Schizosaccharomyces pombe: one gene and its partners. The gene in region 2 interacts genetically with the main gene of each other region. Each region holds a gene or a part of one and is shown on either strand. Other genes may lie near its edges. The genes, in order: exo2, rrp6 and pof8.

What was found.
Region 1: mutations in rrp6 (region 2) and exo2 are lethal when combined (synthetic lethality), as found in Schizosaccharomyces pombe (one study listed by BioGRID).
Region 3: of rrp6 (region 2) and pof8, a mutation in one rescues a mutant of the other (synthetic rescue), as found in Schizosaccharomyces pombe (2 studies listed by BioGRID).

What each region holds. Positions count from the first base shown.
Region 1 is NC_003424.3:1,776,471-1,780,226, reverse strand, and holds the start of exo2 (exonuclease II Exo2), read right to left. Parts: upstream 1,738-3,756; 5' UTR 1,679-1,737; coding exon 1,664-1,678; exon of another isoform or gene 1,626-1,663; coding exon 1,558-1,625; exon of another isoform or gene 1,518-1,557; intron 1,508-1,517; coding exon 1-1,507. Other genes in the region: fol2 (GTP cyclohydrolase), read right to left, coding at 2,856-3,158, 3,270-3,565, 3,619-3,727. UniProt on the Schizosaccharomyces pombe protein: Multifunctional protein that exhibits several independent functions at different levels of the cellular processes. 5'-3' exonuclease component of the nonsense-mediated mRNA decay (NMD) which is a highly conserved mRNA degradation pathway, an RNA surveillance system whose role is to identify and rid cells of mRNA with premature termination codons and thus prevents accumulation of potentially harmful truncated proteins.
Region 2 is NC_003424.3:609,091-612,846, reverse strand, and holds the start of rrp6 (exosome 3'-5' exoribonuclease subunit Rrp6), read right to left. Parts: upstream 2,000-3,756; 5' UTR 1,962-1,999; coding exon 1,695-1,961; exon of another isoform or gene 1,637-1,694; coding exon 1-1,636. Other genes in the region: spo20 (sec14 cytosolic factor family, phospholipid-intermembrane transfer protein Spo20/Sec14), read right to left, coding at 2,688-2,963, 3,027-3,149, 3,346-3,648, 3,697-3,756.
Region 3 is NC_003424.3:3,622,063-3,625,818, reverse strand, and holds pof8 (LARP7 family RNA-binding protein Pof8/Lar7), read right to left. Parts: upstream 2,097-3,756; 5' UTR 1,951-2,096; coding exon 742-1,950; 3' UTR 448-741; downstream 1-447. Other genes in the region: protein Rqc1, read right to left, coding at 1-245; cleavage and polyadenylation specificity factor complex endoribonuclease subunit Ysh1, read left to right, coding at 2,175-2,222, 2,277-2,363, 2,413-2,510, 2,644-2,772, 2,814-3,714. UniProt on the Schizosaccharomyces pombe protein: RNA-binding protein required for assembly of the holoenzyme telomerase ribonucleoprotein (RNP) complex. Specifically binds telomerase RNA ter1 and promotes assembly of ter1 with catalytic subunit trt1.

The DNA of each region.
Region 1 (3,756 bases), 1.2 Mb from region 2:
AAGTACCCATTGTAAACCTTCAACATAACGTTCAGCCATTGCTTTTAAAGCTTCTTCATCATAATAACTAAAACCAACCTTGCTTCGATAATAATCATCCTTCCATTGGATAAAATCTTTTTCGACGTTTTTTTCTTTTAAAGCTTGTTCTTCGTTAAGCAAAGGAATGTTATCATACTTTTGAAGTACACGTTCGATTTCGTCCTGCTCAATTTCATCTTCGTCTTCATCATTAAATTCAAGATCTCTAAATGTAATCCTTAATAGATGAGTGCCGTCTACCTTTATAATTTTGGAAAATGACAGATGAAGATCATTACATAAACGTCGTAGAAAGCGCTGATCAACAGAAGAAATGTTTGCACTAAAATCAATGAACGGCTCACGAGAAGACAAAAACTTTTTAATCTGTAAGAAATAATTTTTCTGCTCCCCTGTCATGGCTTTAATATCATTTGTTGATTCAGTAATATATTTGAGAAAGTCAAAAGATGGTTTGTCAGAGTTCCCATTGTTTTTTGTCTCAGAAACTTCAGCTTTAAATATCTCTTTCTCAAAATTCTCAAGTTCGAGGAGTATAAGTTCCAATCTAGCCATATTGATTACTCCCTTTTCATTAATATATCCCCCAGCAGAAGGCATAACTTTTTTGTATATACTAAACATCAAAGCTAACGCACCCTCATTAATATGAAGCCCAGGCAAATGGGGAAGGAAGTCATTTCCGACAAAAAAAGCTAAAAGAATAAAGTCGTCAAGGATTTTTTCGAGATCATACTTAAAAGTGAATGTAGATCGGCATTCTTGAAATTCAAATTCAAGATATTCTCTTAATAAACTTAAATGCAATAAATAAAATTTTTGGTGAGCCAATTCCTTAGAACGGTTTCTACTTGCCGGACCAAAAGTAACCTCCTCACGTAATAGACAAAAATGTGGATCATGAGATAAAAGACCTAGCATAATTAAATCAGCATCCAAACCATAAAGGCAATGGCGAGTGTTAGGATTATAGCTAGGTTGAGCCTTTTGGGTTCGAATATATTCCATAATTTTATGCTCACCCTCACCGGGGCAATCGTGGCCAGAGAAAATAACCTCAATGTTCTGCCACTGGGAATCGTTCGTAACTTTTTTGTGAATAAAATAGTATAACTGTCGTGAAACCCTCTCCATAAAAGTTGTACCTGGCGTTATACAGTTACTGTCAAATTGCTCCTCGGGAAAATCCTCCCCATTACGTTCTGCTTTTAAACGCGCATCGTGGGCATCTTTAGCAGTTCTGAATCGGCGACTGCGCTGTTGATTCATTTTCGCACGTGGGGCACATCCATCTACTGCCATATATAGAAGCTTTTTGGGTTTAATTTTTTCAAATAAATGCTCAATATAATTAAAAATGGCTATATACATTTCCTCTTCTGGAAGTGGTGGTGAGGAATGATCATCATTCTTATGCGTACAGTTATGAAGAATACCATTCATATCTAGATAAAGATTATCAAATCTATTTCAATTAGCTCCATACGTTTCAAACGATGATTTAAATTGACATACTCGGGAATGCGATCGTTTTCAATCAGCTGACTGCACAGCGGATACCTTTCGCTCATCCATCGAAAAAACTAATTGTTAAAAACTTATACAAAATATCGATAACAACCTTTGGAATTCCCATACTGAACGAACTTTCTCATTAACAGTTAAATAGGAATAAATTTAGAAAGTATTGTTGTTAGTAGAGAACAAATGTCAACATATGCGGTGCTTGCACGTATCGATAGGCCCCAGGTTAGTGAAGTTTAAGGAGTTAGTTATATAGTACATGAAATATTGAAAATGTGTAGATCCTCTTTGATTTAATATCATACTAACAGAAGCCTTTTTAACGATATCATTGTGAGTAAAGATATTATCATATTATCATTTTTTTCAACAAAAATACAAATGGCAAAATAGTTAGTCTTTGAGACTAGCTGAGTCTAAAATAGAGCAAGTTCTTAAACATTGAGGCGAAGGAAGGAGTTTAGTTGTTTGAAAAACAAATCAAACACATTTATCAAGAAATACGTTTCGACTAATTGAAACTGCAGCAGTAGTAGATGATTAAAAAACATTGGCAAATTTTATAATTAACGAGACATTTACCTTTATAATAATGTGTCTAGGGTATATCAATACAATCACTGTAAGTTGCTTGCAATACTTATCGATTACGGTACAAAGATTATTCATTCATAATATATTTGATGATAAACTATTAATTGAGCTCTTGCAAATTGAAAGTCTTACACAGCAAAACTTAGTAAATAATTAATAAAATTGTTGAAACTTCATATATGTATATAATAACATGGACTAATTTACCATGTAACCAAAAAAGTGATTCGAAACAACGTTCAAAAAGAAAACTTAAATAGTAGTTTTCCATTAGGATAACGTCTTCCTTAGCACGTTGAGGCTAATAATAGTAAGGTGGAGTGAAATAGCTCCGGTCAATTTTCAAGAAAATAAAATAAGCCATATGAAAAACGACCATGTGTTCGAATTTCTTCTCATAATACTAAGATATCAAAAAAAAAAAAAAAAAAATTCGTGAAAAACAACTGAAGAAGGGCATTCATATTTTTAAAGAGTAATAGAGAGAGAACTTTCGACTGCTTTTAAAATCTTTGGTTGCTAAATCGTATGCATAAATAAACATATGCAAGGATTGATATATTTAAAAAAGTGATTGTTTTAACAACTCAAAAACTGGAATGCAAAAAAAAATAAAAATATAATACCATTTAGTTGTAATAGGAATTTACGGACGGTATCACCTCTAGCGATTAACGAACAAAATAAAACCAAAATTAAAATTTTCCAATCAATCTAAAAAACTCCTCCCTAGTTTTATGGCTTCTCTGAAATATACCAGTAAGACTACTAGTAACAGTACTGCTACCCGGTTTTTCAACACCGCGCATAACCATGCACATATGAGTAGCTTCCATAACGACTGCAACTCCCTGAGGTTTTAAGACAGCTTGAATAGCTTGGGCAACTTGTTTGGTAAGACGCTCCTGCACCTGTAGGCGACGCGAAAACATATTGGCTATACGTGCGAGCTTTGAAAGTCCCAATACACGCTTACGAGGAATATAACCAATATGAATCTACAATAATGTTAGTTTAATACGCTGAGTTTGTGAAAGAGGGTTAAACATAATTGCATAGCCCAATCACGTGAATGCAATGGATAAAATCCACTTCTAAATGAAACCTACTTTTCCAATAAAAGGAACCAAATGATGCTCGCACAAACTGAATACATCAATATCTCTAACAATGACCATTTCTTCGTGATCTTCTTGAAATACTGCCTCATTGATCACTTCGGTCAAATTTTGCTCGTATCCTTTGGTAAAGTAAAGCATTGCCTTGGCATACCTCTCAGGTGTTCCCAAAAGGCCTTGTCTCTCAGGATCTTCTCCCAAACATTCCAAAATTGTTGAAATAGCATTGGAAATTTTTTTTACTTTTTCTTCCTCAGCAGTATCTATTCTACGTTGTGTTCCTTGACCTAATTGGTATTAGAATACTTAAATGAGTATAAAATATGCTTTCATTACTTACAAGGCCAAGAAAGCCCGTCTAAATCAATAGTTGGTGTAGATGCGCCAGAAAGTGAGGCTGGTTGCATCCTCAAAGGAGAATCTATATAATCCTTTTTTCCAGGCTCCATGAGAAATAAATTTTTAATAAATGAAATTA
Region 2 (3,756 bases):
TCGGGTTTGCAGCTTCAGTTACAGTGGACTGCTTTACATTCAATTCGGATTCAACATGCCCTTGAGTACAAGGAAGAGTTAATGAAAAAGGAATATTCTGGTTCACTATAAAGAGTCTCTCTTTACGAGCTTTCCGTAAATCATCTTGCGACTGTCCCTCAATCCAAAACGCAGATCCATTTGCCAGCAAAGTCTTTAGTTTACTTCTATTTTGTTTAGAAATCTCGAAAACACTGGAGTCAACTTTGTAATCACCCAAAGTATTCGATTCGGAAAAAACTGCTAGCGGTTGATTTTGCTTCTCAACTTCTTTAAATTGGGATTTCTCACGATCTACTTGCTCATTATACAACTTTTCGGCTTCTTGAACGACTTTAACGATATCTTCAACATACATGCGAGCAATTGGTGTCAATTGCTTAGAAATTGAAAACACATCAGCCGCTTCAACCGGTTTACTGGCGGCAATCGCAATAAGTAAACGATTTGGCAACACATAGCGAACACTTTCATCTTCTTTTCGGGCTACGGAATCTCTCCAATCGTGCAGTGCTCGATAAATCATCAAAGCTTCCCGTCCAATTATTTTAGAAGAGCCAAACTTAGTAAGTACATTTCTCCAGCCATCAGTACCAAGTCCATAAATAGGATCATAAGGCTCAAGTTCATACTTTCTAAGAGATATTTGTTTACTGGAATTGAACACTGATTGCATAAGATTTTCTTTTCTTTCAGCTGATTTTGATATGAGTTCATTTCGTAAATGATCCCAAATATATAACAAATAATGCGTATCAGATTGAGCATATTTTAACATTTCCCGAGGCAAAGGACGGATTCTCCAATCAGCCATTTGGTATCTTTTATCTGCATCATAATCACAATACTTTTGTAACAGAAAAGCCAGACCATGACCCTCAAATCCTAAAACTTTAGTAGCATAGTATGTATCAAATAAGTTTACAACGTAAAGCCCGAAATCTCTTTGCAGCCAAATGATATCCATAGTTGCACCATGAAAAACTTTAATGATATTTGGATTAGTAAAAACAACATTCAAAGCTTCAAGCTCTTCGCGGAGTTCCAAGGTGTCAACAATCCAATCTTTTTCTCTATTACTAATTTGCATTAGACAGACGAACCCTCTAAATGATCTGTAATCATGGTGTTCAAGATCAACGGCTATTTCTTTGCTGTTTTGTAATTCTTTTAGCATATCCGATAACTGACTTTCAGTACTAACCCAGATAGGTTCTGTTTCGTCGACAGAGCCAGTATCGATGGGATTAGACATTTCTGAAACCCATGGAGGATATACGCTATTTTGTATTTCTGGTTCATATGGATGTGGTAACGAGTTTTTGAGACTAGGGTCCAATTTGACTTGAGCGATAATCTTTTCGAGCGGTACTAACGAATGTGGTTTTTCAGTTAACTTCCAAGACCACACAAACTCCCTGGAATTATTAGGCTGTACTCGAAACCTTAATTGAGGCTTAGTAAGATGAGCTGCGTGAATAACCTTGTAGGGCAACTTTTCTTTCTTTGGTTTTTTATTGGCAACATCGCTTGTCGACGCATGGGTTTCGATCGCTGGCTTTTTTAAAAGTCCTTGAGCTTTATCGATAGAATAGTCCTATATTCATACGTCTTAGTTAAATAAAATCCGTTTACAATTTCAAAAATTCACTTACAGCTTTTTCAAAGAGTATGTCTAATGTGTCCGATACTTCTGCCCATCTATTATCTATATCTTCAACGTCCACAATATCCTCCGCCCGACTTCTGTCTACTTTAGAAAGAAGCAATTCAATTAATCTCATAAAACGAGAAGAAACACTTTTTATGTTTTCATTGAATTCGGTATCAATTGATTTATAAAACGGTATATCAACCTTTGCCAATTCAGAGCAATAGGCTGTACTATTCATTAAACCCTTAAACAATTCTGACTCATCCATTATGCTATTGTTTACCCTACTGGATCAGTAAGGTTTTTGGTTTGGTTCAGGAATTTTCAAGCACTTTTACCACACGCTCAACGAATTACCGAACTTGAATATAGACATCGTTAAAGTACGAAATACAAGAGCTATTTTTATATATATAAAATATTTTACACAAATGCAAAATCTTAGCAGAATTATGTAAAAGCAATTATTTATGATTAGTTCAAAATTGTGAAACTATTAGCAGGCAACTATAGAGAGGTCTTTTATAATATAGGCATTCAATTTTGATCAAAAAGTAAAAAAATAATCAAAGTAGATGAATTACAAATTTAAAAACTTCGGATAATCTAGAATGGATGAAACAATCAAATCAGTTGGATCATCGAGCGTCCTTTTTTGGAAAATTAATGAACGATATATGTATTGAGACCTTCTATAAGGATTAAGAATTGTAACAGCAACCATCCCATGATGTTGATGATGGATCAACACATGACTTTCGAAATAAAATATTTATATATGCTTCGATCTATATACGATAATTTCGTCGAATAGTAAACCGTAAGTAGAAGGAAGTACCTGAGATGCTGAGTAAAAATAGAACGAAGACCTTTAAGAACTAAAACGCAGAACAAAGTTGAAAGATCGGCAAAAACTCTACACACTATTACTCTTATCAAAGGACAAACCACATTCATCTATTCTAGCAATTAAATCCCGTTCGGAGAAAGAAGTCTAATTTTTGTTCATCCACTGTTCTTCATGCCATGGACCGGCGTCAGATAGTTCGCAGCCACCTGGACATTGGCAGTTTCCACCGAGTTTAGCAGGAAGATTATCAGCAGGGATTTGTTCGAGCAGAGCACTCTTATAGTTTGAGCCTAAAATATGAATTTTTTTGACAGTTGCCTCATCCAAAAAACCTTTGATAAGATTAAAGGCAGAAGAGAATCCCCAAGGAGCGTTAATTACATAAAACTTGCCCATCCTTTCGGGGTAATAATCTTGACTCTTTAACGTGTTAATACTTGAAAAAAAAAAAAAAGAACAAAAATTTCAACATTTTCAACTTACAATGCTTGATGCTTGACGAATGTAGCTGTAAACCGAGTGAATACTAGTAATACCAACACCCTTTAGATCCATGATTGTGCACGAAGTTTCAATCAAGCCTCCTGCTTTACGAGAACAAGCGGGCTGAAGACGGTTAATAAAGATGAAAAGAAATATCAAAATGAAAAAATATATCACAAAAAATTCAACACAGTAGAAAACCAAAAGTTTTTCTATTAAAAAGCCGAAAAACCAGCCTTATATGGAATATGCAAATCCAAAGGAAAGGTTTGATTATGAGAATTACTGGAGATACATTTAATCATTTGAATTTACTTACAAACCGTTTTAAAGCAAGCATTTCATATTCATAAACCAAATTTTGCATCATACGCTCGGGAGTCGTGATTTGGTACAACTTCTTCAAATCAATGTTACCGAGTTGCTCAACGTATACCGGACGGCCGTCGATGTCAGTTTTATGATAAAATTGAGGGTAATATTTGGAAACGGCTTCTTTCTCATCATAATGAAAGTTTTTGATAAGATCATCAACACCAAATTCTTTTCTCCACTTTTCGCATTTAATAAACATTTCCAGCGACTGTTGCAAATTAAATTTACGGGCTCTCAAAAAACGCAACTAAGAATCCATTAGTACAAACACAAAGTTTCCTGCTGTACAACTTACTAAAGTGGCATCGTCTAATCTTTCCGTGTATCCAAGTTTTTGTAACTCTAAACGCATGCT
Region 3 (3,756 bases), 3.0 Mb from region 2:
TTTGTAGAGACAATTGGAGACTCGCCTTCTACTAATGGTTCATCCTGCTCTTCCTCAGAAACACTTTTTTCTGCCTCTGAGTTAATAGCATTATTTTCTTTTTCGAGAATTTCGAACACGTTTACTACTTTTTTCCCGGAAGTTGAAGAAAACTCGTCATCCTCATCAGATTCACTGTCTAAAGCTTCTTCCAATAGCTCGGTTTGTCTTTGACGCTGAAGTTTCCGTAAAGCTCGTGAAGACATGAGAATGGTTTGTGGTAGACTAGAATGGCAGATGTAAGAATTTAACTCAGACCTATGAAAACACACCTCAATTTCAAGAACTTTTCGGTATGCTAAATTAATATATAACATACAGAAAATATTTCATTTTAAGACTGTTAGCAGTGAAGAATATTACGTTTCGTAGTTAAAAGGCGTTAAGGAAAATACAAGCCGGGAGCAACAATGATGTACAGAATATGTAATTAAAATCTAAGTAATAGAATTTTGCAATTGTGGGGTGGTAAACCGTTTTTACATATTTGTGGTTCATGGTTTATTGGAATTTTTGCTGATCGCAATAGGTTATCAGCCAAATGAAAATTAGAGGGGTTATTAATACAAAAAACTGTTAATGCAAATTTAGTATTAAAGTGAGAATAACGACCGTGTTACCTTTTTGTATGCCTATATTACCAGAATATATTATAAAGTAGTAAATAAATCAAATTAGTATTACCAGAGAAAGGAAAACATATTACTTTTTTAACATACGCCAATAATTCTTTTCTTCTTCTCCGGTAATTAGCTCAGCAATCAGGAATGGACGGCTAGATCCCTTTTTCCTATGTGCCCGAATATCATCATGACTGTTTTGTTTCCTTTCTTGTGTACGAAACGCGTTGATACACGTCTCAGCATGAAGCGGTGTTTTCCAACGTATTATCGCCTCTGTTTCGTCCTTCCTATAGTCTATATACATGGGCTCACATGCAATATTCTGAGTTTGCCGCGAAAAAACATAACTCAAGAGGCTGTGAATAGTAGATTTATTAGTTAAAGGATGGAGGTTCTTGATACGGGTCAAAAGATTCTTGGTAAAATCCAAATTATCTTCATCTTTATCAGTTTGTGAGGTTTTGGATACAGACTTGGTCATTTGTTTTTCTACTTTAGTAAGTTTGGGATAACGATTTTCAGGAAAGGAATTGGATGAATTTGAAACGTCTGAAGATGACGCTTTTACTAAATGGAGTTGATTTTCAAAATATTTTTCTTCACGATTTGTCCATTCTTTACGAGTCAACAGTACCCATCCAGGAGGGACAGGCAACTTGCTAAGTGCTGATTGATCAACCTTTTTGTACAAAATTACAAAAGCATAACCTTCAGGAGTACCGATAGCATCAACATAGGGAAGGAACTCTTTGAGGTATTTGCGAAGTTTCCCAGCCAAAAGTAAACTTTTATTAGACAGAGTAGCCGGAACTGGTTCAACGTAAATAATTCTATCATACAGTGGTATGTCAAGAGGAAGAACAATATTCTCATTTCTAATAACCATGTGTGAGGAATTATCGAAATGAAACAGCGCATTAGTAACATAAGATAAAGCATACTTCAAGTTATTTTGCGTTGGATTCGGGCGGATTCCTTTCCAGAAATCATCTTGCTGGATTAAAAAGGCCAAGTGCACTTTTTCTTTTTGCCTTTCTCGGTGAAAATAAATTTCTAATATAGAATCAACGGCTGATAAAAAGTCAGGATTTAACGGTTCAATAAGCTGTCTATCTTGTTGATTTAACATGAGTCCTCCGCTTATGGAATGACTTGGTTCTTTGCTGGCTTCATTATGTTTGTAATGCTCATCTTTCAATTTGTTGTTATTTCCATCTGCAATAGAATTATTTTCCTTCCCTGTAAATGCTTTAATTTTGCGAACATTCAGTTGCCTTGGCACAAACATTTTACTTCGCTCCTTAAAGTACGGTTTTCTAGTATCAATTAAAGTGAAGTCATTAATAATAAATAGAATTAGGTGCTCTTAATTAAAAAAAAAAGGGTTGTAAATTTTTGTTCTGCTTTCTCCCAATTTATGTTGAATGCGTAGGTGAAGAATAACTCGCGCTTGCCCAGCACCCACGACCTTGTCTTTCCAATTGTGGTTTTTAGACAAAAGCCCTTGGAAAGATGTCCAAAAGAAAGGAATTTGATGAAGATGCACCTGTAGACCCATCCGTAAGCCTTGAATTTACGATTTTTTATAAGGGCCTACTTTCTAACCAATGTCAGGATTTACTGGAGTTTATTAACTTGGGAGCCGGAAATGAAGTTGGTCGCAGTTGCCATGTTATTCAATACAAAGGGAAAACAGTAATGGTATTTTAATTTTTATTTTGTTATGATTGTGAATGCTAATTTTTGCTAGCTCGATGCCGGTGTTCACCCTGCGTATACTGGGCTTTCAGCTCTTCCTTTTTTTGATGAGTTTGATTTGAGCACTGTAGATGTACTTTTAATTAGCCAGTAAGTCCCTTTTGTACCACTACTTGAGACGACCATAGGTTATTAGATTAGAGTACTTCTTGTACCAATTACTATTATGGTCCCTTAGGCATTGATTCATTTTTTTTTGAAAAGTATTTCTAACTTAAGCAAGCTTCCATTTGGATCATGTAGCCTCGCTTCCCTATGTTATGCAAAAGACGAACTTTAGAGGTCGTGTCTTCATGACTCATCCTACAAAGGCAGTTTGCAAGTGGCTTTTATCTGACTACGTGAAAGTGAGGTATGTATTCTTAGCTCTGAGTATTCATTAACAACTCGCAGTAATGTAGGCATGGAAGATCAGCTTTACGATGAGAAAGATTTGTTAGCCGCTTTTGATAGAATCGAGGCTGTTGACTACCATTCAACTATAGAAGTTGAGGGTATAAAGTTTACACCCTATCATGCGGGCCATGTTTTGGGTGCCTGTATGTATTTTGTGGAAATGGCTGGAGTCAATATTTTATTTACAGGCGACTACTCACGAGAAGAAGATCGCCATTTGCATGTCGCTGAGGTTCCTCCTAAAAGACCAGATGTGCTGATCACAGAATCCACGTATGGTACAGCATCTCACCAACCAAGACTGGAGAAGGAGGCTAGACTGTTAAATATTATTCATTCCACTATTCGCAATGGAGGGAGAGTTTTGATGCCTGTCTTTGCTCTTGGAAGAGCTCAGGAGTTATTACTCATTCTCGATGAATATTGGAATAATCATCTCGATCTTCGCTCAGTCCCTATCTATTATGCATCATCGCTAGCGAGAAAGTGTATGGCCATTTTTCAAACTTATGTTAACATGATGAATGATAATATTCGAAAAATTTTTGCCGAACGAAATCCGTTCATCTTTCGTTTTGTCAAAAGTCTAAGAAATTTAGAAAAATTCGATGATATTGGCCCTTCTGTAATATTGGCAAGTCCTGGTATGCTACAAAATGGTGTTTCAAGAACCCTCTTAGAAAGATGGGCTCCTGACCCTCGAAATACGTTACTTCTTACTGGTTATTCTGTTGAAGGGACAATGGCAAAGCAAATTACAAATGAGCCTATTGAAATTGTGTCACTTTCAGGCCAAAAGATTCCTAGAAGAATGGCAGTGGAGGAACTTTCTTTTGCGGCTCATGTTGATTATCTTCAAAACAGTGAATTCATTGACCTGGTAAATGCCGATCACATTGTATGTTTAGTTACTAATGTAACGTTAAAATTAACTAATTAT